4 linked regions of the Diceros bicornis minor genome follow. The main gene of each other region encodes a partner of the protein of the gene in region 2 in a complex. Links are inferred from orthologs where the notes say so. Each region holds a gene or a part of one and is shown on either strand. Other genes may lie near its edges.

Region 1 (7,101 bases), on a different chromosome or scaffold from region 2:
CAGCAACTGTGTGCATCTCTCACTCCACCTAACGCTGCCTCACAGCCAGCGTAAGGATGCAGTGCCAACTGTTCAAACTTACAGAAGAACCTGAGTCCCAGATCCCCATTACGACAGCAAGGAGGGGCCTCACGCCTATCAGCAAGCACACACATACACACACACGACCACTAACTGGGCTGAACCTGGACTCTAACCCCACTGTCTTCAGATGCCCCCCACCCCCATCCTCAGCCCCACACTCACCCTTCTTGACGGCATTGACCTCCAAGGGTTTCAGCCCCAACTTGGCCCGGAGCTTACTGAAGACAAGAGTACAACTGTTAGAAGCTGTCAAACAAATGGGGGCACCAAATGCATTTCTGGACAGACAGAGGGTGAAAACAGGATGGGAGTGGGTGGTCCTAAGGGTCCCAAACACAGCGCCTGACCCAGGCAGCCCAGGGCATTGGGAAGGGCACTGGCCTCCAAATCAGGGCACACCGGCGCTAAGCCCGGCTGCCCCTAACCAGTGGAATGCCATCCTTCCTCTTGGGGCTTAGTGTCCTCTTCTGTAACTCAAATGGTTGGCTAAGATGATTTCTACAGCCCTTCCCATTCCAATCAGAACGCTTTAGTGTGTGAGAGCCTCCCCAAGCAACTGCCCCAGGAGCCACCTGTCTCAGAAAAAAAAAACGAGAAACAAAAAGGAGACAGCACTTACTTGGTCTCCTCGATGCTGAGTGACGAAGCATCTCCCGAGCTGGTTTTGGAGCTGGCAGCTGGAACAACAAGGAGCACGGCTCAGGAGCTGAACACAGGGCAAAGAAGCCACTTCCTCCGCTCCAGCTGCAGGGCTGAAGATGAGGGCCCCTCACCAGCACGCGGGCCTTGCTGAGACACCAGGAAACAGCAGCCTTCTTTCACCCCAGTAACTCCCACTACTTGAGTCCCAGTGTCTGAGAACTCTGCCTCTTCTACGTACCTTCCTTTCCCAACCCTAAAGGTCCAACTTTCTGCATCCCTCACTCCGCCACCTCTCCACTTTTGTATATTCTGTGTTTTCAACCTGCACTGCCCTCCCTGGCCTCACTCTGATTGACAAATTCCTATCCAAACGCAAAGATCAAATGCCACCTCCTTCGTAAGGTCCTGCTGAATTATTGATCAGAATGAACTGCTCTTCCCTGAACTCCACAGCGCCGTCAGTTGCTCCTGGGTCTGTTTCTCCCCACAGGGCAGGGACCACGCTGACAGCATGACTGAATCCTCCGTGCAATTCACACAGTCAAGAAACACACTTACTGGTGCCTGCTCTGTGCGGGACGTTGGGGACAGAGAGACAAAAAAAGCATTTCGGACCTCCTCCACCCAGCTCATAAACAGCAAACAACTTCACTGAGCACCACAGACAGAAGCTAGACACCCTCAGATGAAGCTACCCCAACCAGCTGCCACCATGTGCTCACCCTTTCTGCATCCCTGCAACCTACCTCCTCCCCTTTTATCCCACCCGGACCCTGGATCCATCCCAACCCCTCCGGGCTCTCTCCAAGGTCACCAGACTCTTTATTTCTAAATCCAATGGATTCTTTGCAGCTCTGGTTTTGCTTGATCTCTTGTGGTGTGTGACACTGTTGATCACTCACTTCTAACAATGCTCTGTTCCCACAGATCCCATGACACCGGGTTCTATGCTTTTCCTGCCTTTTTGGCTACTCCACCTCCCTTCTTGTAGTATCTTGCTCCACCTACTACTAAAATATTGGTGTTTTGTAGACTCCACTCCTGACCCTGGCTTCTCACTCGTCAATCTTTTAGTGAACTTTATTTGACACCTAACTACTCATGACACCCAAACTGCTCTATCCAGGCCAAACCCTGGGTTTCTTCACACACATCAAACACAACACTCTCCAAAACTGAATTCATTATCTTCCCTGCAAAGTCTGCTTCTCTTTCAAACTCCTCAACATCTGTAGATGACACCAGCACCCACCTAGCTGCTCAAGCCAAAATTCAAGGAGCCATCCTCCATTTCTTCTTCTCCTTGCCACCCTCACCCAAGCGTGTTAATTCCTCCTCCAAAACACCTCTTCAATTTGTCCACATCTCTCCATCCCATTGCTGCTGCCTTGGTGCAGGCCACCATCAGCCCTCACCTGACCTCCAGTCTTGTCTACCCTCGATCTAGGTCTCAATGCAGTGATCTTTGCAAAATATGATGGACTCGTTCCTCGACTCAAATCCATGGCTCCCTACTACTCTCAGGACAAAGTTCGAATTTCGGAACAGGGCCTACGGCACCCTTCGTGTTCCGATCCCTGCCTATCTTACAGCCTCCCGTCTCTATCGTGAGCCCTACAGGATTCGCCCAATACCAGGTTTTCTCTTGCCTCTGCACAGGCTACTACCACTTCATCCGTTCATTCATTCACTCTGCACATTTACTGAAGGCCCTTGATGTACCAATTGCGAAAAACAGAAAATCTCTGTGCTCACAGAGCGTAACAAACGAAGACAACCTTTAATCTCAAATAACCGTAACAAGACTAAGCGCTGAGAAAAACAGCCTGGGGGGTGCCTCGGCCTGAAGGCTGGGCGAGCCCACCCGGGACCTCCGCCCCGCCCCCGCGCAGGCCCCGCCCCTCACCGGCTTCGTAGCCGTCATCGCGCTTCTCCCGCTTCACGCGCCGCTCGGAGGGCTCGGCCTGGCTGCGCTCCCGCCCGTGAGTGCCACTGCGGGCCTCGGCTTCGGCCCCGCGCCGCCCGCCCCCGCGCTCGCCCCCACGCTCCCGGCTCCGCTTCCGTCGTTCGCCGCCGCCGCCGCTGCTGCCGCCGCCGCCGCCGCCGCCCCGGTGCTTGTGTTTTTTGTGCTCTCGGTGCCGCGGCGGCTGCTCGGTGGCGCCCCCGGTGCTGGCCGCCGCCGTCGTCCCAGCCCCCTCCTTCTCCCCGCGATGCTTCTTTGACGACCCCATGGTGGTATGTCCGTCCCGAGCCCGGCCACCGCCGAGCCCAGACGACGCAAAATGGGAACACTTCCGGGTCGCCCGGCAGCCGCTGTCGTGTTGCCGGAAACCAAGAGCGGCTGCTTCCGTTGTTCCCCTCGGAGCCTGCCCCAAAGGCTCATGGGAGGGCCAGGATCGGCGCCCGACTGCGCATTCGCGGCCGCCTCGGGCGGGCGGGCGGTCATGGAGCCTGTGGTCCCCTGGCGCGTGCGCTCTTCTATGTTCGCGGACCCGGTCTGGAGAAGACCGGATCCCAGAACTTGAAGGACCTACAGGCTGTCTCAGTCAGCGTCCCCGGAGCTGGAAGCCCCTCCCCGGCTTCCCTCCGCTTGCACACCCCCAGCCACGGGACGCTCACTGCCTCACAGACTTTCCGTGGACAGCGCCCGCCGCTCCAGTAGGCGTCCTCCTAGTGGACTACTCCCTGGGGTCGTGGCTCCATCCAGCGTTGGACGACGCAGCATGTTCTCCTCCTGAGACCCACAGCCCGGCCTCCGAGCCCCTACAACCAGTATTGGCAGCAGACCCTGCCTGCCCACGTTCCCTGGATTGGGTTTTTAACCTGCGCCCCGTGAACTGCTAAGGAGCTCCAGATGAGCTTCTGTGTGTTGGTGAACCCCCTGAAATTGAGTGCAAAATTTGGCGCATCTGTGTGTGTGTGTGTGTGTGTATTTCTTGAGAAGAGGGGCTCTAACTTGAAGTTATTTAACATTAAAAACCCAGCTCACACGGTTCCTCCTGACACCCACACCCCACAGTTGCTAGATCTGGCGGTCCCTGTGCAGTCCATCTGTTACGGTGTGATGCCTGTGCCCCTTTAAAGGTCCGCCCCCTCCCCCACCGGACTGGGAGTCGCCAAAGGCAGAGGCCATTCTGTCTTACTCGCTCTTGAATTTCTAGAACCCAACATGTATGCTGGCGACTGGGGGTGGAGGAGTCGCAGCTGTTGCTCTTTGAGACGCCCCCCTCCTCAGGAGCAGAGGCGGGGCTGTGTGTGCTGGGAGGGGGCAGCCAGAACAGCGGGAGCTCCTGGGGGATGCGAGAACAAGCTAAGCCGGCTGCCTACCCACCTACCGCCTGCTACTCCCAACCCGCAGCCTCTTCCCACCACCACTGGAAGTCTCACGCTGTATTTTCCATAAAGCGTTTAATTTTTCTCAGGGACTGGACTTCTGGTCTGGGCTTGGGTGGAGTGCCTGTCAGGCTGGCTGCCGGTGGGTTCTGTCCTTGGGGGGCTCTGAGAAGAGTGCTCCATTCTCACCCCTGTTGACCTGTGTCTCCTTAAAGATGAAGACACAGATAGAGGTCACTGCGCTCTGCAGTTCGCCACCCTCATGCCCAAGGAGACCTGGGCTATAGGAGGGGAAAGGCCATTGTCACTGATGATGTGGGTTCAAATCTGGCTCCTATGCTATGTGACCCTGAGCCAGTGACTTCCTCTCCTTGAGCCTTAGTTTCCTTATTGTGAATTGGGCCTCATAATCCCTGCTCTGCACTAGGTTCTTCTAAAGCATAAGGGACAGTATACCTGGGGTGACTGGAGTGGCACTAGCCCATCATGGGGCCTTGGTGTGTGGCCACTCAGATGGCCACAGGTTCCCAGACTGGCTCTGCTGCTTATTTGCTCCTGTGACCTTGGGCAAGACCCTGCCCTTCAGGTGCTTAGTTTCCTCACTGGGAAGTGGGGAAAATAACCCTGGCCCTGTCTTCCTCAGGCGACATGGAGGACAGGGCCTGGGGAAGACCCTGCTGACTGCTAGAACTAGTCCTCCAGACCTGGGAGTAGATGGGGCAGGACTGAAGCTTAGATTAAGGGTGGATCAATGTGGCTTCCCACGGAGTCCCTCTGCCTTTCCCCAGGGCAGGGAGACAGAGTTCAGAGGGCTGGTGATGGCGCCTCTTCTCCCCGCAGCTGGGCAGAGCCGGTTCCTTGGTCAGCTAGACGGTCTCACCTGGGTTTCCTGGAGGTCCCCTCCTTGTCCCCCTTTCCCGCCTCCACCAGCAGCTGCTCCTCATCCAGTCCCAGTGCCGACAGCACCTGGGAGAAGCGCCGGGCCACAGTGAGCCGGGCGTTGGCCTGAGGAGAGAGAGGAGGGGTTCCTGCTCTGCACCAGGGCTGCCGAGGACACAGTGGGGCTCTGGGTACTGAGGGCGTCCCAGGGCTTCCAGATGGGCAGCAGCCAGGGGTCCCATCTAAGGGGGCCCACTCCCACCTTGCTTCCTACCCACTCAGCCTGGGAGAAGCCCTGTGCCAGCCCTCACCTGCATGGCCTGCTGGAACAGGTAGGGCCGGGCCTGCACCCTGTGCTGGATGCCCTGCAACTCTGCCTGGTACTCAGCAAAGCGCTGTCGCTCCTGGCGCCTGCAGGGAGACAGGCCTCTGGGCAGCTAACCGTGGACACAGCCATCCCCACTCCTGAGCCCACTCGTCCTCACTAAGGACTTTATGTTTATGTTCTCTGGCCGTTGCCTTTGCAAAGCCATTTCATTCCCATCCTCACCCTGGATTCCTTCTGAGGTCAGTGGGGCAGGAGTTATTTGACCCATTTTACCCTTGATGCACCTGAGGCTCAGGAGGGTTGAGGAACCTGTCCAAGGTTGCACAGCTGGGAAGTGAGAGACTGAGTCCTGAGCCCAAGTCTGCAGGCTGTGCAGCCAGGGCTCCCCCAGCCTTGCAGCCACCCCCAAGGGAGAGGGGCCATCACTGGCTTCTGAGCAACTGGGCATCTGCTTGCACAGCCTCTCCTCTCCCCGTGTCCACACCCCTGCACCCTTTCACACTGCACCTGCGAGGAGGATGCTGTGGCCTTGGGCAAGGCCCCACTCTGGGCTCTGGGCTCAGTTTTCTTGTCTGTGCCATAGCAGGGACTGGACAAGCTTGCCAGCATCCTCTGTGGTTCTGATAAGCAGACAGCTTAGCAGTTGGGACAGAAGAACTAAAGAAATGTGTTGCAAATGAAAAGAGCACATCCCAGAAAGATCAGGGTTCCACTGGGGAAGCACAAATCCATTTACAAAAACCCAGTTTGTGCGCTTGTCACAAATGTGTCTGCTCAAAAAGCTGAGCATCCTGGCAGCAAGAGGGGCCCTCTGGCCACACCGTGCTCCGGACCAGGCATCCTTCTGTGAAGCACATAAGAGAAGCCGAGGGGCGTGGTGGCAGCACCCACACACAGGACAGGAGAGCAGCAGGCAAGAATCCGAGACTCGTGCTGGGACCTCCAGCAAGTATGCTGGGCCCCATGGAAAAACACTGCCTTGCTGTGGACCCTTGGTTATGTGCCAGGGAAGGACGCCACCACAGCATGGCTTGATGAGCAGTGTGTAGGTCTGTGTCCAGAATCCGAGCCTGCGAACCCCCGGCTGCCGAAGCGGAGCGCGCAAAGTTAACCACTACGCCACTGGGCCGGCCCCCCACCTTTTTTTTTTTCATGGTCAAACTATAGGAAGAGAAGAACACTGATGACTCTTCACTGACCATCAACAGTGGTCGTCTCCAGGAGTGGGATCACAGGCGCTGTTCCCATTGTACAAGAACAATTTTGGTAATATTTGAACTTTTGTAGTAAGCATGTCTGGCATTTGAAATCGGAAAAACAAGACTTGAAAGTGTAATAATGCAGGTAGAACATTTTAACCTGAGCGTTCCACAGCTGCAGGGCTTGTTATTATTAACTGGGTGACCTTGGCCCGGCCCCTTCTCCTCCCATGGCTTAGTGTCTTCATCTGTAGAGTGTGGCCCGCCTGCCTGGGCGGGAGGGTGGCCGTGGAGTTTCAGCCCTGAGGGAAGGGGAGGGCTGGGTCTCCTTGGTCCTTGTCTGACACCTCACACTGCCTCCCTGCCCTCTCCCCACCGGGCCCTCCGCAGCCCTGGCCTCCTACCTCAGCTCCTCCAGCTTGTGCTGGGCAGCCCCTGGCCCCCGGCTCCCTCTGGGCGCGTAGGCTGCCAGGCAGCGAGCCACCTGCTGCTGAACCTGCTGCTCCCGGGCCCTCCGCAGCTCAGCCTGCCGCCGCTCCTCCCGCTGCTGCCGCTCCCAGGCCTGCAGCAGGCTTCTTGGGGGGTGAGAGGGGAAAAAAGAGGGATGGGAAAAGTCAGCTGGGCACAGGCGTCTCA
Region 2 (7,437 bases):
CTGTTCACAACTAGGGATGAGGTTAAAAGCTGGAGTTCTGTAGCCCTAACCAAGGCAGGTTTTGCTGTAAGAAATCTGGCATCATCTTCCTAGGTCTCCTTATTTGGACAGGGCACAGCAGTTCAGCATGAGAAAAACTTGCAAAAGCCATGGAAGGGGAGGGAGACATGCTTGCAAGTACGCCTCAAAAATGAAGCTCTCCCACTTGATTGGTATCAGAATTAGTGGGAGAGCTTGTGAGAAAGGTAGATTCCCAGAACCCCCCACCTCCAAAGTCCTGAGTGGCTGGAGGTACACAGTCATATTGGGAAGTGGGGGGTGGGGTGGAACTGATGGATTCTGAGACAAAAAGAGGAGGGAAAGGAAAGAACAAAGAAACAGAGCTGAAAAAAAGATCTAGGGAAACATAGAAGTGAGCAGAAGCACAGAAGAAAGAAGCCATAAAATAAACATGGCTTGGGGAGCCGCGTGGAGCAGCAGCGGCCAGGTGTTCCACGGCATATGACCTCACTGAGAAAGCAGCATGTTGGCACAATGCTCCATAAAACTCAGCTCTCCCTGGAATCTCTGCTTCCAGAACACCAAGCTAGCCAAAGAGAATTCTCAAAAAATTCCAGAATTATTAGGCTGGTCAAATGGGCCAACATACAAGAATAGCTACAAGGGAGGTGGCCAGGCATAGTCCCTGCAACACCCTTTTCCTGTGGATGTGGCAGCTCTGAGGGGGTCTCAAGATCAGCCCAGACTGGTCCTGGTACCCCCCAAACTAGGGGTGAGCTCCCTGGGCAGTGAATCCAGCCTGGAGAGAATGCCTTCAGCCTGGTCAGTGTCGGCTCTGGCGCTTTGCAATCTCCTCCTGGACGCGCAACTTGAGGGCCTCTCGCATGGGTGGATCCAGAGGCGTGTGTGTTGATACCTCCTCACTCACCCTTTCTGGATCATCGTCCTACGTGGAGGAAGAGTCAGGAAGCTCAGGGCCCGGCCTCTTCTGGAAAGGCGACCTACCCTGTCCCTAGAGAACACTCTCAGAGAATTTCCTTTGACTCACGGCTTCTTGCCAGTGCCTGTCATTTCCCAGGTGTCCCCTGTAATAGTGACTCTCATCTGGGGGCCAAGAGCCCTACCTGTTGCCCACTGAGAATCACTGTGTGATGGGAGTGAGTTGTGCTCAAAAGCATCGCCCAGCAGTCTCTGCTCCCTTGTGGAGCAGACACTTCCCACTGGCACTGAGGAAAACAGTGGCTCAGGGTCTGGCAGTGATTTCTACCACGGGCCAGGACCTTCAGGCTGCAGCTGTTTCCATGAGGCATACCTGATACACGATAACTGAGGTGACCTCTCCGCTGTCTGCCTCATACTCTAAGCAGAAGAGCTGATGGCCAGAAGGCTCTGGCTCGGAGCCGCCACTACTGCTGCTTTCACCGGACTCCTCACAGTCTGGGTTGCTTGGGTGGGTAGAAACATCTGGAAGGATGAACCAGAGTGAGAGGGAAGAGGGGAAAGCTGCTGGAGTCCTTGCCCACAGAGATGACAGGAAAACATAAAGCCCCAATCCTCTTACAGACCCGTGTGTGTGTGTGTGTGTGTGTGTGTGTGTGTGTGAGTGAGTGAGAGAGAGAGAAGTGTGCCACCAATCAGGAGTTTTATTGACCTTTGTATCCTTGCTCCTGGGCCAGCACAGTCAGTAGGGACACAATGCACATTTGTCTAGTGAATACAGTTGGCAAGTAGTGGAGAAGTGGATAGAGCTCTGCCTGCGTTCAAATCCAGGCTCTGCCATTTACTAGCTCTGAGATCTTGGGCAAATTACATAACCTTTCTGTGCCTGTTTCCTAACTGTGAAATAGAAAATGTAACAGTTTCCATTTTATGGGGTCCTATGAAAACTAAGTGATCAACGTCCATAAGCTCTAAAAGCACTTTTAAGTAACGCTCAACAAGTTTAGCGCCATGTGATAACTACTGTGATCTCCTAGGTTGCAGGGAAGCTGGGGAGAAAGGCCATTTACGGGGTTTGGGCTTCATTCCACAATTATGTCCTGGTCGCTTACAACTATGCCAGGCTTCCTCTCTGTGAGGTAGTGGGAATACGGAAATATAGTCATGGTGGGGCAAACCGGCAGACACACAACTTCTTGCCGGCTTCCCGTTGTGTCCTATAACAATGACGCTTAAGTGGGGGCCATAAACCTTCCCTGTTCTGCGGAGAGCATCACTGAGCGGAGACTGAGGAGCGTCGAGGTGTTCCCGGGAAGGGACGAGACGAACTGAGCCTCGGGGAATAAGAAGCGGTTTTTCCCTCTAGAGAAGGGAGTGCGTCGGGGCAGAGAGCCCGGGCCGGCAGAGCGCGCGGGCTTGCGCAGGCAGGCGGGGCGGGCGGCCTCACCTCGGCGTCGCGGCAGGTACACCTGCAGGTCGGGCTTGCGGGGCCGCGTCGGCGCGGGCGTGTGCCGCCTCCTCGCCTTCTCCTTGGCCGCCTGCTTCACCTTCTTGTCGTAGTCGTCCCTGCGGGGAGCCGGGCGGGAGTCAGGGACGGCCGGGCCGGGCCAGGCTGGGGGCGGCGGCGCGGGGCGGGGCGGTACCGGGCGAGCTGGTTCCTTCGGATATGGTGCACGAAGCCGTGACTCATGTCCAGCCGCCCTCCAGGCTTGCAGCAGAGCCGCGGCCCGGGATCCGGCACCGCTTCCATCTGGAGGCCAGGGCACAGAGCCGCCGCCGCCGCCGCCGCCGCCGCCGCCGCCGCCGCAACGGCCCCAACGGCCGCCGTCCCGCCGGAAGAGGCGGCGCAGCCCCTCGCTCGGTTCTCGACCCCGCGCCCTGACGTCCCGCCCGGAAAGGGCCGGCCCAGCCCAGCGTCCCCGCGCGCTGAGTTCCGGGCGCGGATCGGCGGATGGGGCATGCGCGACTTCAGCTCACCGGTGGGGCTTTGCTTTGCTTTTCTTTGTGACATTTATCAACGGGAGACAAGGATTTAGGCTGATACATCAAAAATTCAGAAAAATATAAAGCACACATTGCATACTCAGCGTTCGTCGTGGAGCCTTCTCGTTCTTTTTCTGGTGATAGGGTGCTGTGAAACTCCATCACCAGCTCCGTGACCTCGGCTGACTATTGAACCCCACTGTGCCTCAGTTTCTTCATTTGTAAATGGGGACACTGAGAGCATCTACCTCAAAAGAGGTTGTGAGGAGGCGAGTGCTTGGGCAGGGCACACAGCGGCGCCCCGGCCGCACAGCCCCGCGAAGGCTCTCTGGGCCCAGTCCCGGCCCACCCCGGGGCCCCGCGCTGTCGGCGGCGGGGACGCCCCTCCCAGCACGCCCAGCGCCCGAGCACTGGCAGGTCCCGCCGCCCAGACCGCCTCGGGGCCCACCGGACCTACGTCTTAACGGTCCCCGCGGGAGGACCCAGGGCTTTTCAGGGTCTGAGCGGGTGCGATTTTCGAGTCCTCTGTTAAAAAAGACAAAATTAGGAATTCGTGATTAGAACAGGGACAAACTAGTACATCCACACGGAGGACTATCGCTGAGCAATCAAAAGGAACCAGCTGTTGATAACACTCAATAAAGTGGATGAATCTCACATATGCCGAGTGAAAGAGGTCAGGCAAAAAAGAGGGCACGCTGTGTGTGCTTCCATTTAGAGAAAACTCTAGGAAATGCAAACTAATCTGTAGCGACAAAGCAGATCAATGGTCGGGGCAGGAGGACACTTTTGGGTCTGGTGGATAGGTTCATACCTGGATCGTGGCCATGGTTTCAGAGTGTATCCATCCATCCACCCATCAGTATTTAGCAAATTGCACACTTTAAACGTGCAGTGTATTGTATGCCAATTACACCTCAGTAGAATTGTACAAAGTAGTTCAGGGCCGTGGAAGGGGTCGTGAAAGTAACAGGCCCTGAGATTTGAGCTTTGTTAGCTTCATGGTTAAGTCCTGCTCTGCCCGACGTTTGCATTTTTCTGTGATACGGAGAACAACCCTCCAAATGTGGAATTAGAGCCTCTGGGTTGCTGCATGAAGGGGATAATTTGGGGATGTCGCCTAGTTCTCCCCTGGAAAGGGTCAGTCTCCGAGGCGCAGAGACTGTGGAGACGATCTCTCAATTCTGGTTTCGGGGCACAAGTGATCTTGAAGAAATCTGGGGCCCATGACAGCTTCTTTTATCCAGAAATTCTGCAGCCAGTAAAAGGTTCTTGCCTCTTTAAGCTGGAAATTATGGGTAAGGTGGCAATAAGAACGACTGGCCCATAAGTCGTTCTCAGGTGCGCACACAGCTTCAAAAAGGCCACAAGGGGCGCAGTACTTCCCAGAAATTTCCTGCGACATAATTTGTCCCCATCGGCGACTCGTAGAGAGCCTTGGTCTCGATAACAGCGCCGCTCCTGATTGGCCGCGTGCCGCGCACTCGAGCGTGCCTGGCGCCGGCGCTGGGCTGGTCGGCGGGTGGTGGCGATGTCTGGCCGCTCCAAGCGGGAGTCTCGTGGTTCCACCCGCGGGAAGCGGGAGTCTGAGTCGCGGGGCAGCTCGGGTCGTGTCAAGCGGGAGCGAGATCGGGAGCGGGAGACCGAAGCGCCGAGCTCCCGGGGCAGCCCGGTGCGCGTGAAGCGGGAGGTCGAGCCGGTGAGCGCGCGCGAGGCCCCGGCGCCCGTCGTCCCGGCGGTGCGGGTGAAGCGGGAGCGCGAGGCCGACGAGGACTCAGAGCCGGAGCGGGAGGTGCGAGGTGCGCGGGGCCGGGCCGGGCGCGGGCTCCACGTCTCGTTCTTCTTATTCTCTTTACAGCTTCCCTCCCCGGGGGGGGTCACACTCCAGTGTCCGCGTCCCGACTCCACTGCGTTTTAGTGAGGCTAGTACTAGTTTTAATAATAACCGTAATTTGATACTTTTAGCAACAAAAATAACGGTAGCAGCTTCTCTTTATTGAATGCCTAACTCGGGCCAGGCGCTGTGCTACTTATGTTACAGGTGTTACCTTTTTCAGTTTTTACAAAACATCTGGGAGTGAGTCCTGCTGTAATTTCCGGAATTAGATCAGAGTCGAGAGCCTGAACGCTGGCACCTGCAACATACTGCCCCGTTATCCGGGGCTGTAGTAGCCAGGAGATCTGGATTCTGGTCCTGCCACTGAGGCTGAGTCACTGTGGTTTGGGAACGTGGGTTTCACCTATCTGTCCGTCTGTAAATTAGTGCAAGTAGTCCTGGAACCTTTGACCTTTGAGAGCCCTTCTAAGAATGGCCAGTAAGGCTGTCACTCCCCTCCGTGACTGCATCCTTTGCTTCCTTCCTGGGTTTTTTCTGCTTCTGGTAATTTCTAGAGACCTCTTTGCCCAGCCTTGGTTCCCTGTCTGTAGTGTATGCTTTTCCAACTTGTTGATATCTTACCAATCATTAAGTAGGTTTCCACCAGTTCTGAAGCTTTTTCTGTTTATACCAATTACATCTTTTCCTTCTCTGAACTTGGAACTCCTGACTTGAACGTGTTCCTAGATACTTGCTTTTTGGTGGATTAGCAAGAGCTTATTGAAGTAGCAGGTGAGTGTGTCACTGGGCTACCTGCTGGGGGCAGGGTTTGTGGAGGGAGGGGTCCTCATTCTCCAAGACTTTATAATTCTGCCTCTGGTCCTGGTTACTTGTATATGATTATACTCTTATATTAGCTCTTAAGTTTCTTGCTCAGGGTCTTGTGTTTGACATATTTTTGTATTACACTCAGGGTCCAGAATAGCACCTTGCTCATAGAACGTACTTGATAAATATTTTTGAATAATCTAGTTGATAATTTCAGGGTATTCTCTGATTTCCTTTACTTAAATACTCTGCAGCCTCAGTTTTCCCTTTCTTTGGTAGAGAAATTGTTTCTTAGATATTTTGCATAGTTTTGGTAAGGATTGTTTTCTTTGGGACACCCTAGGATCCCAGTTGCTGTTACTGTCTTGTCTTGTTTTTTTCCTTTTATTTCTATTGTGAAATAGATCGCAGGTACTAAGATATACTGAATGTGATAATGTATAAGTACAGTTTAAAGAAGAGAGTGGATGTACATCTAACACTTGTCAAGAATTGTGAAGGATCTGAGATTTTACCCGGTGTGAAACTACCAAGTTAGCTTGCCACAGTGTCGTGGATGCTGATGTAAGACATGGGACTATTGGGTCTGAGACAGTTTATTGCAGCAATAACCAGAATAGCATTGGTGTCAGTTTCCCGAGTTAGTTCCCACAGTACAACATGAAGAGAACCATACACACCATGGGTGGCCTTACAGGAGAGGAACTCTGAACTTAGAGAACCTGAATCTTTTATAATGGGCTGTGAGTTTGCCTCTCGTTTGCTCTGTAGGAAGACACTATCTCTGTCTTCCAAGGCTGTTCACTATACAGACATCCTTGACAAGATAGTCTGGAGACAGTCAGTGCCTCTGGTCACAATATGTACAGAAACATGGGAAACCCATGGAGAATTGCCTCCTAACACTGTTCAGCCTAAGAAGTGGTACAGAGTCAGTACCTTAGAAGCTCCCATAGGCCCCTTGCCAGTTGTGCTTGCCTTCCTTCCTTGCTTAGGTAATCACTGTTCTGAATTTTTTTCTAATCATTTCTACTTTTAGTTATAGTTTTATTTCATATATGTATCCTTAAGTTACACTGTTTTATTTTGTATTTGATATAAATGGAGTCGTATTGTATGTAGTCTTCTGATTTGCCTTTTTTTTTTTAACTAGGCATATTTGTGAGGTTCATCCAGGTGGATATTCATGGCTACATAGTGTTCCATTAATACACCAAAATCTATTTCTCCATTTTATTTGTGGCAGACATTTGGGTTGTTTCCAGTTTGGGCCCTTTCACATATTGCTGCTATAAATATTTTTTAGTAAAGCACTCTTGGTGCACATGTGCAAAAATTTCTCTAGGGTATGTAAATAGAAGAGAGCTTGCTGGGTCAGAGGGTCTGCATATTTTCAGCTTTGATTCTGCTGTACTATTTTCCAAGTTTATACTCCCACCAGCTGTACATGAGCATTCTCATTGCTCCACATATTCACTTGGAATTTTCTGATTTCTTTTTCCCTCTCTGGTAGGTGTGAAGTGGTACATCACTGTGCAAGGAAATTTGCATTTTCTTGAATATTGATGAGGTTGAGCATCTTTGTGGGCTGTATTCATCATTTTCTATTGGACTGTTTGTCTTTTTCTTATTGCTTCACCAGATTTATTTATGTAATCTGCAAATGAATCCTTTGTTGGTTATATGTGTTTCACATATATTCTTAGAGTTTGTGGCTTGTTCTATTGGTGGGCTTTTTTTTTGGTGTTGCCAGGCCACCTTTATAGGAGCTCATCTTGATTAGTTTTTCCCACTTCTACGTTTCTTTGTTTGTACTAGTAGTTGACCCTGAGTGTGAGTTTCACATTTTCACAGCCTGTGATGATTTTCCT
Region 3 (7,163 bases), on a different chromosome or scaffold from region 2:
CAAAAAATAAGGAGAAATTTTGAAAAACAAAATATTTCAAAATTACTTATTTAGAATCTGGGGAACAGATTTCTTATTCCAAGACCGGAAGCTGCTTAAAGGTTTGACTAGACGGTTTGAGTAGTGTGCCCTTAAAATCAGGATTTCTGGATCTTACAATGGTCTTTACTCTCTATTAATAAGCAAAGATGCTAATACTTCATTTTTACTAATCTAAAAACCCAAGTGGGAGGATACTTCACAGACACTGTTTCTTCCTCACCAAACTGATCTGATTGGTTATAAGGCACAGCTGTATATTTCTGTGCTTTGAAGAGAGAGGTAGAGGAGTTAAAGGGGGGGGAATTGGAAACAAAAAACTGTGAATCAAAAAAAATCATTCATATTCATAATATCCAAAAGTTTAAAAACTAATGTGAATAACCAATCATGAGATAATCATTAATTATGGTACAGTCACACGATGAAATATAATTCAGTCATCTTTTAGACAAAGAAAAATGATATATGATAAAATATTAGGCAGGCAAAGTTATTTTTACAGGGAGTTTCTACTGCATAAAAAAACACAGACTAGAAGGAAATATACCATTGTTTAGTGGTGGTTATTTCTGGATGGTAGAAATATGGATGACTTTGTTTTTTCCTTTATCCTTTGCTGTGTTTTTTTGGTCCTAGAGAATCCAGAGGCTATTTTCCAGGACTCAAAGGTCTGGAGTTATCTCATCTGTCTAACCAGCCTCCCTGAGCTCAACATGGTTATTTCAGCAGGACAGGAATTACCACTGTGGCTGGCTTGGTCATCAATTGAGATTTAATAAGAATACCTGCTTAAACCTTCCAGTGGCATCTCACAGCACTTAGAATAAGATACATACTCCTTAGCTTGTTCTCCAAGCTAAGGGCCCCAACAACCTCTCTCACCTCAATTCCTACCACTCGCCCCCTCACTCACTGTGTCCAGCCAAATGGCGAAGCTCACCCCCCCCCCCGAAACTCTTGAAACTTACTGTTCCCTCTGCCTTTTCCCCCACAACTTCCTAAGAATGGCTCCATCGGGGCATTCAGTAATTGGCTCAAAATGTCACCTCCTTGCAGAGGCCTTCCCTGACGACTGATTCTGACTTAGCTGCTTCTTCCCCACCCCCATGCCCATTTTATTACAGCAACTGTTTTATTTTCTTCATAGCTCTTATCACCATGTGAATTTATTTTTTAACGTCTTATTGTCTGCCCTACCTACTCCTCCCCAAAGATTATAAGCATCATGAGAGCAGGGACCTTGCCTGTTCTGTTCACTACCATAACTTCAGTACCTAGAACAGTGCCTGGGAACAGTGGGCGCTCAATAAATATTTGTTGAAGGAATTAATGAATTACATCAATGAAGGCATTAACACAGAGAAGAAATATGAAGAAACTAGAGGTGCCCTAATAGAAACAAGGAAATAATGTGGAAGAAATGTTTTCTTTGTCCCTAACTGCTGAAAGCAGCCACGCATCACCTTCATTTGCATGCCCCGAGGTGCTGCTAGAACTTACACTCAATGATCACCAAATCAGTGTCACCTGCAGCCCAAACCACGCCTGCTCCTCCCCTCAACCACAGCAAAGATTGCAACTCTTCCCGGAAGCTGCCTTGGGAACTTACTGCTAGCTCCGCTGGCTGGCAGTTTCAGTGAAGCTTGGGGGCATCCTTAACTATATTTAGGCTGAATTGTTACGAGCTAACCCGAATGATTATGTAACATGGACCGTGCCAGGAGCCTTATATGCTCTTACTGAAAACTCACAACCACCCTGCAAGATAGTAGTATGTTCACAGACAAGGTTCAGAAAAGCTGTGTTATTTGTCCAAAATAATTTACCTAAGTGCATATAACTACCAAGCATTGGAGCTACACCAAACTGGTGCCCAAGTGAAGTGTTTTAGCTGGGAGGAATGCTTTTAATTTTTGAATTGCCACATATTCAGAACGCATTCCCTCTGACTAGAATACAACCCCCTCTCACGACCATTTGCTGAATATTACCCATCCTAAATCCCAGATCACACATAACTCCTCCAGAGAGCACACCTCAGTCTCTCCAGTCAAACTTGATTATTCCTTCAGAAGCCACAAAGCCTTGCACCTTCTCCAATATCAGACCCTGCGTACTCTGCCTTGGATATTTTTTGTAAATGTCAACACTACTATATTCTAAGCTCCTCCATGAAATCTCTCCCCCATGTCACCTAGCCCATGTACAGCACACAGTAGGTACTCAGAAAATGTTATCTGAATGAGTAAATGAATGAATAAAATGGAACTCATTGTGAGGTAAATCACCTTCTAAGTTTAAAAATTGTTACCATTTGACTATTTCCTAATGGACGACGAACTTATATACAGAATCACAGAACTGTTGAATCTAGTGTCTGAGTCCTTGCTGGTTACCTAACCTTCTACCCAGTTATCTCAGGAAGCCCAGAAATCCTTTCCACAGCATGCACTTTGCAATTATTTAAAATATTTATTGAGCACTTAGTATATGGGGAGAGTGACAAGATAAGATACTGCAAAAAATAAGACATGCTTTCATGAAGCTTAAAGTCTGGTAAGACAGGCAATCAAAAGGAAGCAAATAAATTAAGAAGATCATTACAGACGGTGACAGGGGCGTTGAGGGCCTGTGTGATAGGGAGTATCCCGGGAAGACCACCTTAGAAAGGACGCTCAAGGAGTGTCTGAATTGACACCTAAAGGAATAGAAGAAATCAGGCACAGTAAAGCCATGAAGAACATTCTAAGCAGAAGGAACATCAAAGGCAAAGGCTTGAGGTGAGAAATAACATGGCATGTTTGAGGAACAGAAAGGAGGCCACCAATGAGAGTATCTGGCAAAGAAGAGTGGTAGGAGACAACAGGAGCCGTAGCAGCAGCCATATCATGTAGGGTCTTGTAATCCATGGTGAGGAATTTGGATTTCACACCAAGAGCAACGGGAAGCCACAAAGGGTTTGAAGTAGGAGCATGGCATGATCTGATTTTTTTTTTTTAAAGATGGTTTGGGCTGCTGAGTGGAGAACTACTGCAGAGGAATGAAAAGAAGTAGGGAGACCAGTAAAGAGGTGACCGCAGTCCTTCAACTGAGAAGTGACAGTAGCTTGGACAAAGGCTGTGGCCACGGAAATAAAGAGAAGTGGAGAGAGTGGAGATCTAGTTCAGAGGTTTGACTGACAGGACTCGCTGACTGACAGGATGTGTGCGTGTAAGGAAAACCAGGGGTCTGCTTTTACAAGCAGGTGAAGGCATCATTTACTGAGATGGGAAAAGGCGGGGAAGGAACAGGCTTACAGGGGAAAAAATCAAGAGTTTTGCTTTGCCCATGACAAATATAAGACGTCTATTGGATATCCACGTGGAGGAGTCAGTCAGGTTGGATCCGAATCTGGAACTCTGGGGTGAGACTTAGCTGAAGATATTCTGGGAGTCAGCACACTACTGCACTCTACGTCCTGGTCCATCCGTCTTCTGGGGACACAAAATAACTGCACTGCCTTTCCCCTGTTCAGCCCTCGGCATCCGCCAGGAGGCCGGACTTTGTCCTGTGGGCAACAGGGAGCAGGAAAGAGGCTACGCAGGGCAGCTCCCATGGGGTCGGGCTCCAGGGGAGCCGCTGAGGGCGCATCACTCCTCGTGGGGAGGACCTGGGCGGCGCCTGCCTCCCTTGGCCCCGGTAACGCGGTCTCCTCGGCCCCCCACCTCCAGGAGCCGGCCTCCCCGCTCCCCGACCCGGGCCTGTCTCCCGCCCTCGGGCATCCCCCTCTAAGCCCGGCTCAGCCTCGCTCTCACCCGCCTCCTTCTCCTCACGCCGGGCCACGCTCTTCCCTTTGGCTTTCTGGCCCCGCAGCCCGCGTCGCCGCGGGCCCCCGCCAGCTGCGCGCTTTCGAGCCATGCTGCCCGGGCAACACTAGCTGCTCGCGTGACGCACCACCCCGCGGGAAGCTGCCCCTGGCTGCGCCAGGCGTAGCCACGCCCCTTCCTCACAGGGCAAGCCTCCGCCCCCAGAGGAAGCTCCGCCCCAGCCCCAAAAGACCAAGGCGAACAGCGGGAAGCAAGGAGGTGCAAAACAGATTTCTTTGCACTTCCGGTGCATTGCGTCCTCGCGTTTCCGGAGACAGGAGGGAGCTCGCGTGCTCTCGCGAGAGGCAAGGAAGGGCGCAGGGTTTGAAACATGGCGGACGACGTGGACCAGGTGAGTGTCTTCTAGGGAGCTCGCTCCGGAGCGGCTTCTCCTCTCCCAGCCCTGGCCCTGCTCGGCTTTGCGTACCACGGTTGCTTTCTCGAAGCTCACGGGAAGGTGGCCGATCGTGCCGCCTCTTTCCAGGTCACCATGGCCTTAATCGGCCCGTTGCTAACCGCGCCCCCTGCGACTTTTGCTTCAAGCCCTGAGATCTTTTCTAGTTCGAAGCCCGCCTGAAAACTAGTTATTCCTCCCGTTCGTCGCTCCCTTTGTCTTCATTCTGACCTTTATCTGTAGAATGGGAATAATTACTCCTGCTTGCCTCGCGGAGCTGTCGGGATTCTGATACAAAGCGTGATAGTAAGGAGTTATCGTTATCGAGCGCAACCGTTATTACTCATTCAGCAAATACGTAGTGAACATCAGCGTTTGCTTAGACACCGTTCTAAGCCCCAAGGACGCCGGCATTGACATGCGTGACCCTTGTCCCCACTTGGGCTTATATTCTGGGGGAGGATAGATGAAAGGTAAACATAAATATATGCGTTATGTAGGCACTGTGATGTGGTATGGAGGACACAAACAAGGAACTGGTGTAGAGAGTAACTGATGGTCCCACAGGCTTTCTCACCTGCTCTTCCTTCTTCCCAAAATGCTCTTCCTCAGGTGTCTTTGTGGATCAGGCCACAGCTTCTTCAGCTTTCTAGTGAAACCTCACCTCATTGAAGAGGGCTTCTCTGGCCACCTACATAAAATAGCATTAGGCCCAGTCTGCTTTATTTTTCTTCATAGCGTGTTATCTGTTCATATTAAGTGTATGTGTCTTTGTTTGATGTCTCTCTCCCTCCGCTAAAATGTGAGTTCCTTAAGAGCAAGAATTTTGTTTTATTCACTATTCTGTTCTCAGGTTTTACTTTTTTGTGTGTGTGTGTGAGGAGATTAGCCCTGTGCTGACGTCTGCCAATCCTCCTCTTTTCTTGCTGAGGAAGACTGGCCCTGGGCTAACATCCATACTCATATTCCTCCGCTTTGTATGGGACGCCGCCGCAGCATGGCCTGACAAGCAGTGCATCAGTGCGCGCCCGGGATCCGAACCGGCGAACCCCGGGCCGCTGCAGCAGAGCGCGTGCACTTAACCGCTTGCACCACTTGGCAGGCCCCTGTTCTCAGGTTTTAGAACAGTGCTGGAAACATTCGAATACTTATTGAGTGAATGAATTGAATGATTAGGGAGGCCTCTTTGAAAAGGCAGTATTTAAAGCTACAGGATGAAAAGTGTGGACCGTGGGCATCCCAGACTGAGGCTAAAGGAGCCGTAGGGCTCTGTCATGAGTATATTCTTACAATATTATAATTGTCTATTTATTTGCCTCTCCCCACTAAAATGAGCAGGGACTGACTGCTGTGTCATTGTAATCCAGTAGTTGGTTAGCTGCCCATTAACAAACGCCTGTTGAACTGGGGTGGGGCCCAATTGAGGTCAGGATTGCTTTTTTTCTCATCTAACCTTTTAAGGCTGTAGAGCCTGCAGTGTTGGGTCACTTTCCTCCCCTGGCCTCATGTACTCCCTGAAGAAGCTCAGTAATCTCGTCAACTCTCCTGGCTTCTCCCTTCTGTATGGATGACCCCAAGTCATCCTAGCCCTGATCTTTCTGAGACCTGTTTCCAACAGTTCTTTAATAGTAATAACCTGAACCATTTATAAGTACTTTCTGTTTGCCAGGTACTGTTTTAAATACGTTAATTAAATACATTAGCTCATTTATTCCTCACAAGAATCATGAAAGGAAAATTATGGCTTCTTCATTTTGCACACAAGGAACCTGAGAATTAGAGGTGGCATGATTTTTTATCTCAATTCATATAAGTGTCAGAGTCAGTAGTTGAGCTCACACTGCCTGACTCCAAAGCTAGTACTTTCAACCAGTATTCTCTACTTCCTGCTAAATATATGCATCTTACCAGCCACTCAGCACCCTAGACTCAACCTGCCCTGTACTGACCTCGTGGTCTCCCTCAAACCTTCCTCACTGCTTGGCGTTCTGACTAGTGTGTGGTAGTCATTAAGTGAATGTTTTTCAAATTACTAAATGATATTTGAGACAGGGCTAAAGTCCCTGAGAGTGACTCACTATACCCTGAAATTGGGTCAGGCAGTTTGGATTTTGAGGGAACAAAGTACAGCCGTGATAACTTTGCTGTGTAACTCCTTCCTGTGGATGTATGTTTTGGCTCTCGTTTATATAACACTTACTATGTGCCAGGCTTTGTTCTAAGGCTTCATATATGTCATTTAAGGCTCACAACAGCAGTGTTAGGTAGGCATTATTGTCATCCACAGTTTACAGATAAGAGACTGAGGCATAGAGAGGTTAAGTAACTTGCCCACAGTCACAGCATAGCAATGATTCAAACACTACGCTCTTTCTAGTACTGTATCATAAGCCTGTTTCTTTTATCAGCAACAAACTACCAACACCGTAGAAGAGCCCCTGGATCTCATCAGGCTCAGCCTGGATGAGCGAATTTATGTGAAAATGAGAAATGACAGAGAGCTTCGAGGCAGATTACATGTAAGTAAATTTATTAAATTACGTGGTGGTAGATTACATGTAAGTAAATTTATTAAATTACCTGGAAATCAGATTATTTCCTCTTCATCCCTCCCTACCCTCACCCGCTTGAAATGTAAAAACTGTCCACTGTGGAAGAGTATTTAGTGTGTAGATGAGATGGAGGTAGAAAGTCACCCATATTTCTACAAGCCAAATACAGCTATAATTTATTCATATTTTTAACGTGTTTTCTCTTAACAGAAATGTTTATTAAAGAACATATTCATTTCTTTCATTTTTTCACTTCTGTTTATTTTTAAATAACATTTGTTTGTCCTCCATTCTTATTTAAATGTTTTTTAAATTACTGACATATACATA
Region 4 (7,470 bases), on a different chromosome or scaffold from region 2:
CGTCCCATATAAAGTAGAGGAAGATGGGCACGGATGTTAGCCCAGGGCCAATCTTCCTCAGCAAAAAAGAGGAGGATTGGCAACAGATGTTAGCTCAGGGCTAATCTTCCTCAGGAAAAAAAAAACATATCAAGCTCCTACTATTTACAAGATGCTGGGAACTAAGTGGTAAAGAAGACAGACATGATTTCCACCATCAAGGTTCCTAATGTAATTGGTTTTACAATAAACAAACAAATCATTGTAAATTATAATAAATGCCATGAAATAAAAGAATAAAGTGCTGTGAGAGACCCTAATGAGATGGAGGCAGCATGGATAGGATTGATACAGCTAACTAAGATAGGCTCAGAAGAGGCCTGTCAGACTAAGGAAATGACATTTAAACTGAGACATGAAGAGAGGGGGAGCACTAAAGGCAGAAGGAAATAATATGTGCAGAGGCCACAGGTAATGAATAGTTTGGCATCTTGAAGGAAATGAAAGCAAGCCAGTGTGCCTGGGGTACAGAGGGCAAGGCAGAGTGGCAGGAGGTGAAACCTGAGAAGGGCCGGAACAAACACATCTTGTAGGCCATGATAAGGAATTCAGATTTTATTCTAAGTGCAGAAAACCACTGAAGAGTTTTAAGGAGAGGGATGACATGATCTGAAAATTTTTAAAGATCATTCTAGATACCTGATGGAGAATGGATTGAAGAGACAAAAATGGAAGCAGAAAGACCATTTTTAGGATGCTACTGAAATTGTACAGAGAGATGATGGTTACTTGGACTAGGGTTGTGCAGTGGAGATGAAAACATGGGTAAATTCTGGAAATATTCTGGAGGTAAAATCAAAGATTTATGGACAGATTGAATACAAAGGGGGAGGAAAAGGGGGACTCAGGTTTCTGGCTTGAGCAACTGCCCAGAGACTGAGATGGGGAACACTGAGGTGAAACTGGTTTGAGGAAGAAATCAAAGAGTTTTTTGTTTTAACATGTTAAGTGTAGTAGGCTGAATAATGACCCCCAAAGCTATCAGGTCCTAAGCCCTGGAACCTGAAAATGTTGCCTTATATGGGAAAAGGGACTATACACATGTGATTAAATTAGGGATCTTGAGGTGGGGGCGTTATCCTGGATTATCTGTGTGGGCCCTAAATGCCATTACATATATCCTTATTAGAGGGGCAGTGGGACACAGACAGAGGAGAAGGCAATGTGATCAGGGAGGCAGAGATTGGAGTGATGCAGCCACGAGTCAAGGAATGCTAGCGGCCACCAGAAGCTAGAAGGGTCGAGGAACGGATTCTCCCCTAGAGACTGCAGGGAGCACAGTCCTGCTGACACCTTGATTTTGGACCAGTGATACTGATTTCACATTTCCGGCCTACAGAACTGTGAAAGAATAAATTTCTGTTGTTTGAAACCACCAAGTGTGTAGTAATTTGTTACGGCAGCCACAGGAAACTAATACATTAAGTTTGAGAGGCTGTAAAGCGTCCAAATAGAGATTTCAAATAAGCTGCTGGTACAAGAGTCTGGAGTTCAAAAGTTGGAGTTTTAAATATTCCTAAGGGTTTGAAAGTTGTGCTCTTACCTCCAGGTCCTTTCGAATGCTCTCAAACTCCTCAATGTCATCAAGCTTCAGCTCCAGGCGGGTTGGTTTTCGTCGCAGCATGTTGAAATCAACATCAAAGGCCAGACCCAGTGAACTATTAGCTGTTAAAAAGGCAGAGAGAAGGAAAAACTGGAGGGGATAAATCTCAGCTGCAAATGTAAGATCAGTTTGTACGCATGCTTGCTAAAATGAATGGCAATAAAAAAGATTCATTTGGGGCCGGCCTGGTGGCGTAGCCCTTGAGTGCGAATGCTCTGCTGCGGCAGCCCGGGGTTCGGACCCGGGCCACACCGACGCACCGCTTGTCAAGCCATGCGGTGGCGGCGTCCCATATAAAGTAGAGGAACATGGGCATGGACATTAGCCCAGGGCCAGTCTTCCTCAGCAAAAAGAGGAGGATTGGCAGATGTTAGCTCAGGGCTGATCTTCCTCACAAAAAAAAAAAAAGATTCATTTGGATTCACACATAGACTTCTAAGACTTTTGGTGTATGATTATTACATTTTTATTACATGATTGAGATCCACAACTTTGTAATTCCAAAAAACTCTTTCTTCAAGAACTTAAAACGCCAAACTACCTATAAAAGAGAATTCTAGGTAACAATCACTTTAATCTCATGCTCCTGTCACATTCAGAGAAATATTCTAGCTAAGAGAATAAAGTTAAAAGATCACATCTTAATTCAGTATAGTCAGTGGGAGAGTATATAAGCCATTAAATTTGATCAACACTACATGAGAATTGTGAGAGATTTGTGATCACCCCCAAATGCTAAAATAAATTTACTAAATCTCACGAAAACTCCCTCTAACTCACCAATTCACAGAGTTGTCCTAAGGATCTAATTAGGTCCTAAATGGATATGTCATTCATTAAACAAACAATTCTTGTGCTCCAGCTACAGAGTTAAAAGGCACAGTCACAGTCAGTGGGGAAAACAAACACATAAACAGAAAATTGCAACACAGTGTAATAAAACTCTGGCAAGGGTAACGCAATGGCACCAAACAGGCACCAATCCAGTCTGGGCTGAGTGTGAGATGGACAGGAATGTGGAGGGCTTCCTGGAAGAGATGATGTCTTAGTTGACTGGTTAAGGACAGACAGAGTAAAGAGATTAAGGGCATTCCAGGCAGAGAGAACAAATACGCAAAGAGGCTCAAGAGAACCCTCCAGAGCTTGAAAACCCTAGGTAATGCTTATGCTAACAAAAAACATTTTTTTGAGAAGAAAATAAAACTCCCCAACTGAGTTTAAAATCTGTGGATTGCATCTTCATATTCTCCACAGCATCCAGTAGAGTGTATCTATAATCACCAGTCAGTAAACGTTTTGTTGAATAAACTGAGATCCAATTAAAGTGAAATGAACTTTTCTTCAGCACTGTGCTATGCTTTTCCATTCCCATTCTTTACATTTTTATTTTAACATAGAAACTGTGACACCAACAAAATTACCCCTATTTTACAGATGACGTCGAAGCTGTTCAGTTTGGTTAATAAATGTCAGCCTCCTATAAAAATTATACATACGTTCCACGGTGAGGATTGATGTAAGATGATTGATGTAACTGACTAATGTAATGAGAATGATGTAAGTGAAAGCTCCTTTAAAGTTTTTACAGACATAAATTATTATTACATGTATCCAGGATGTATCAAGGACTGTGAAATATACAAAGGAAGAAATGTTTCCTTCTCCCACGAAGCTTAGGTGATATTATCAGATAAATACAGGTGATATTATCAACCCAAAACACCAGCACATTACATTTCAAATTGCTTTACATTAAATCAGATAATATCTTGATTCCAGTGTAGGCAAGTGGTAGAGGGAGCCAAAGTTCGAGGGGGGCGGTGGGAGCGGTGGATGCGTAAAAGAAAGAAAAAACTGCTTTGCATTTTAACTCTTCGGCAAACTGTGAAAAATTCTATGAAGCAATATAGAGTAATGGGTACAAGTGCTCTCTAGAGGCAAAAGGGCAGAGGGCAGAGGTTCTAATCCCATCCACCACTTATCACAAACAATTAGCTTCATCCTTCACTGGATTTTAGTTTCTGTAACCGTACTCTGTTGTTGTATGGATTCAATGACGTAATGCAAAGTAAGTTCCAGGAACATAACTTGGCATTTAGTAAACGCTCAATAAATAACAGCCATTATTATTGTAATTGTCCTTGGGCGTAGGGGCGGGGAGGGGCTCTGTCAGCTCGGGAAACACCAACATTTTAAGCATCTCCACCCTCGCCATGGGGGCAAAAGCCTCGTCTTGTTCATCTCTGATGCCCCAGCACGCAGCGGAAGGCAGGGCCATGCAGAGTTGCTTGCGTGCAGATTACCTGACGCCTCACATCCATCATCTCACTCTGAATCTGATACAAAGACTGGGCTGAAGACAAACAACAAAATCAGGCCCTGGCTCCTCCGCCGGGTCTTTATTCTACTTTGGAGCTAGAGTGCTCTTCGAGCTGTTTCTCTCGCCACTGCTCGAATTCATCCAGCTCAGAGGGAGCCCCTGGCAGAGGACTTCCCGACAGCGGAGAACGAGCACAGCTCTCCTTCCGCAGCTCCAGGGCAGCACCCGGGGTCCAGGGTGACGGTTTCCATGGCAACAGGGACCTCCGCTCCAGGATGACGTAAAGCCGCGCGTCGGGCCGGGAGGGACCGCAGGCCCCGGAAGCCCTAGATTCGCTCCCGAGTTCAGCCCGGAGCCGCGCGCCTCGACGCACCTACCTCTTTTCAAGGCTGCTCAGCCCCTTCCCAGAACCTCGGCGCCCACTACGACTCTTCTGCCAGGCCAGCTGGACTACACTTCCCAGACTACTCTCAACCTCTCTCCTCGCAGAACCTCGTCCTCCGCGTGCTTTCCTCGGAGGACTACAAGCCACGCCTCTCGACGCGCCCAGAATCTGTCCTACTACGACTCCCGTCATGCTCCACGCCGCCCACGATGCTGCGCCGGCTGTCGGCCCACTTCCGGTAGGTGACGCAGTTCCGCTTTGCTGGGCGCGCGGTGGACGGTCTGAAACGTAGAGGTCGAGTTTCGCTGGGGCTTCGCGGCTCCAGAGCTCGGCATGGCTTCCTCACGAGCCTCCTCCACGGTACAGAGCTCAGCTCACTCTGGCAGGGAGCGCCGAGGGGTGGGGAGTCCAGCGGGATGGGGCCGTTAGGGAACGGGCTAGGCGGTGGAGGTGTGAGGAGGAGCAGCGTGTTCCCGATCCCTCAGCGCTTTCATGCGCTTTAGCTTATTTGCATCACTCGCTACACCCGCGAACGGTAAATATCTCTTCCCACGGGTCCAAAAACGCAGCTCTGAAAGGGAGGACGTAGTGCCTTGGCCGAGATGTATGTCCGTGTCAGACCTCTTAATTGTAATGAGGCCTTCTTTCTTCCTATCTACAGCCTGACGTCTGAAAACGTTTGAAGTGTATAGACCAGCATCTTTGTAACTTGTTTCCCCCTTACATCGCCTTGGCTATTTCAGTTATCCTTGATATTTCCCCTGTGATGAGCAATAACCCTGGAAGTGTCGTAAAACCGCAGAAGACATTGCACTTCCAACAGAATGAAGTAAACGTGTTTAAAAGCAAACCTTTGATAGGAAAATCACCAAGAGAAATGCACGAGTATCCTCAACTTCTTCCTGTCTGCAAAACTTAAGTGATTGAGAAACACCCCCCTCAATCAGTGAAAACGCATCTTAAGGTGTCCAACTTGTCGTTTCCGTTCGGGAAGAAATAGGACTGACGCTCAGGATGAGCCTCATCCTTTGGGGAAGGCCGGTAAATTGCTAAGGTGAAGCCTTAGGTTAATCCAGGTCTTTGATTTAGCAGGCGACCAAAACTAAGGCACCTGATGACTTAGTCGCTCCTGTTGTGAAGAAGCCACACATCTATTATGGAAGTTTGGAAGAGAAGGAGAGGGAGCGTCTGGCCAAAGGAGAGTCTGGGATTTTGGGAAAAGAAGGACTTAAAGCAGGAATTGAAGCAGGAAATATTAACATAACCTCTGGTAAGATGCAAATTGTGAGTCCATGTTTACCTTTGGTGCTCAACTTTTCTGTAATGAATACCTTCCTAAACTTAGATATCACTAGTTTTATAGTGTCATAAAATTGCAGTTTTAAACTTGCATCTGTGTAAGGTTTTACTTTGCCTACCCCGCTTATCATCATCCAGAACGCCTTTTTCTTAAAACCTTTTATACAGTTTTTCTTCCGTGAATTGTTAGTAATTTTGTCAGGAGTTTATTCAGCGTGTATTTGGCTTCAAAGTGATTCCGTTTGTCTTCTGGAGATCTAGCATAGTTCTGGCATTGGTTTGGAGCTACTGTCGTTCATAATATTCTCCGTTTTTTTAGTTTTGCAATTACTTTTCCCTCAAAATGAAATGTTTTTTAAATTATATAAGTAATAGTTATTTTTATTTTGAAAAATATCAAACAATGTAGAATTGTGAAGTATAAAATCCTGTAATGCTTATTAATTGGGTGTATATCTTTCTGAGAATTTAATAAAGCTATGAAAATGTATAATTTTTTTCCATAAATGAAACCATGATATACAAATAGTTTTGTAACTTGTATTTTATACTCTATGTACTATTGAGGATATCTTTCCATGTCAGTAACTGGTGGCCTACTGTATTTTTAAAATAAAATTATACATGTTTGTCATAAATTCAGACAGTACAGAATGGTATAAAATGAAAAGATTTCTTTGCAGAAAGGATCTCTTTCAGGTTTCTCATTGATCCTCCTACACATTTTCTTTTCTATACACATGCACTTTACAGACATTTTTAACCATTTATGCTGTTTTTAAACATAACTGCATCACCGCTGTTCTTCTCATTTTTCATCCAAATGCTTGTATTTGGTGTGAGTTTTAAAACTAGCTGCTAGAGGGGCCGGCCCCGTGACTTAGCGGTTAAGTGCTCGCGCTCCGCTACTGACGGCCCGCATTCAGATCTCGGGTGCGCACCGACGCACTGCTTGTCCAGCCATGCTGAGGCAGCGTCACACATGCAGCAACTAGAAGGATGTGCAAGTATGACATACAACTGTCTACTGGGGCTTTGGGGAGAAAAAGGGAGAAAAAGGAGGGGGAATGGCGATAGGTGTTAGCTCAGGACCAGTCTTCCTCAGCAAAAAAGAGGAGGATTGGCGTGGATGTTAGCTCAGGGCTGATCTTCCTCACAAAAAAAAAAAAAAAAAACCAGCTGCTAGATTATCCAAAAAGCCTTCGAGTCAAGGAATATCATTTTCATGGTAATTCTTTCTAGTTTACTAGTTTCATTTGTAAGTGTCCCGATACTGGGACTGTTTTAGAGAATAGCTTTGGCAATTGTTAAAACCGCATTTCTATTTTATCTTCTGGATAGAAGAGCCATTTAACTCATTTGCTAAAGATGCTCCGTACTCTTTCTCATCTCATGTAAGCTGTGTGTTTATATGGGTGTAAGGTTGCCAAATCAAACAACATGACTTGAACCATTTTCCTGCCTCTTAAAGCTGTATCATTTAATTTTCTGTGTTTGGCATAATTTAATAAACTGAGAAAGAGTAAACTATATCTATAAAGTGCTTAATAGATTAGACAGTTGACTTTCCCTAGTAGCATACACAGACTCTAATTGTGAGAAATTATTTCTTTTCCTCTATTTGAAGAAGATCTGGTGATTATGCTGATGTTTCCTGTTCTTTTTATAGGAGAAGTGTTTGAAATTGAAGAGCACATCAGTGAGCGACAGGCTGAAGTATTAGCCGAGTTTGAGAGAAGGAAGCGAGCCCGGCAAATCAACGTTTCCACAGATGACTCGGAGGTCAAGGCTTGCCTTCGGGCCTTGGGGGAGCCCATCACGCTT

Evidence for each region.
Region 1: USP39 (region 2) and SART1 share a complex: the UniProt entries of both Homo sapiens proteins name them as parts of the U4/U6-U5 tri-snRNP complex. The link is inferred for Diceros bicornis minor from reciprocal best matches to the Homo sapiens genes USP39 and SART1.
Region 3: USP39 (region 2) and LSM3 share a complex: the UniProt entries of both Homo sapiens proteins name them as parts of the U4/U6-U5 tri-snRNP complex. The link is inferred for Diceros bicornis minor from reciprocal best matches to the Homo sapiens genes USP39 and LSM3.
Region 4: USP39 (region 2) and PRPF4 share a complex: the UniProt entries of both Homo sapiens proteins name them as parts of the U4/U6-U5 tri-snRNP complex. The link is inferred for Diceros bicornis minor from reciprocal best matches to the Homo sapiens genes USP39 and PRPF4.

What each region holds. Positions count from the first base shown.
Region 1 is NC_080770.1:7,333,574-7,340,674, forward strand, and holds the start of SART1 (U4/U6.U5 tri-snRNP-associated protein 1), read right to left. Parts: upstream 3,022-7,101; 5' UTR 2,958-3,021; coding exon 2,633-2,957; intron 762-2,632; coding exon 704-761; intron 303-703; coding exon 247-302; intron 1-246. UniProt on the Homo sapiens protein: Plays a role in mRNA splicing as a component of the U4/U6-U5 tri-snRNP, one of the building blocks of the spliceosome. May also bind to DNA.
Region 2 is NC_080751.1:4,384,683-4,392,119, reverse strand, and holds the start of USP39 (U4/U6.U5 tri-snRNP-associated protein 2), read left to right. Parts: upstream 1-4,422; 5' UTR 4,423-4,453; coding exon 4,454-4,721; intron 4,722-7,437. Other genes in the region: C12H2orf68 (UPF0561 protein C2orf68 homolog), read right to left, coding at 824-946, 1,313-1,464, 2,387-2,505, 2,583-2,689.
Region 3 is NC_080741.1:88,655,367-88,662,529, reverse strand, and holds the start of LSM3 (U6 snRNA-associated Sm-like protein LSm3), read left to right. Parts: upstream 1-4,155; 5' UTR 4,156-4,218; coding exon 4,219-4,239; intron 4,240-6,689; coding exon 6,690-6,800; intron 6,801-7,163. Other genes in the region: XPC (DNA repair protein complementing XP-C cells), read right to left, coding at 3,837-3,939. UniProt on the Homo sapiens protein: Plays a role in pre-mRNA splicing as component of the U4/U6-U5 tri-snRNP complex that is involved in spliceosome assembly, and as component of the precatalytic spliceosome (spliceosome B complex).
Region 4 is NC_080767.1:21,524,097-21,531,566, forward strand, and holds the start of PRPF4 (U4/U6 small nuclear ribonucleoprotein Prp4), read left to right. Parts: upstream 1-4,456; 5' UTR 4,457-4,537; coding exon 4,538-4,585; intron 4,586-4,610; exon of another isoform or gene 4,611-4,680; coding exon of another isoform or gene 4,681-4,707; intron 4,708-5,436; coding exon 5,437-5,617; intron 5,618-7,315; coding exon 7,316-7,470. Other genes in the region: anaphase-promoting complex subunit CDC26, read right to left, coding at 1,583-1,663. UniProt on the Homo sapiens protein: Plays a role in pre-mRNA splicing as component of the U4/U6-U5 tri-snRNP complex that is involved in spliceosome assembly, and as component of the precatalytic spliceosome (spliceosome B complex).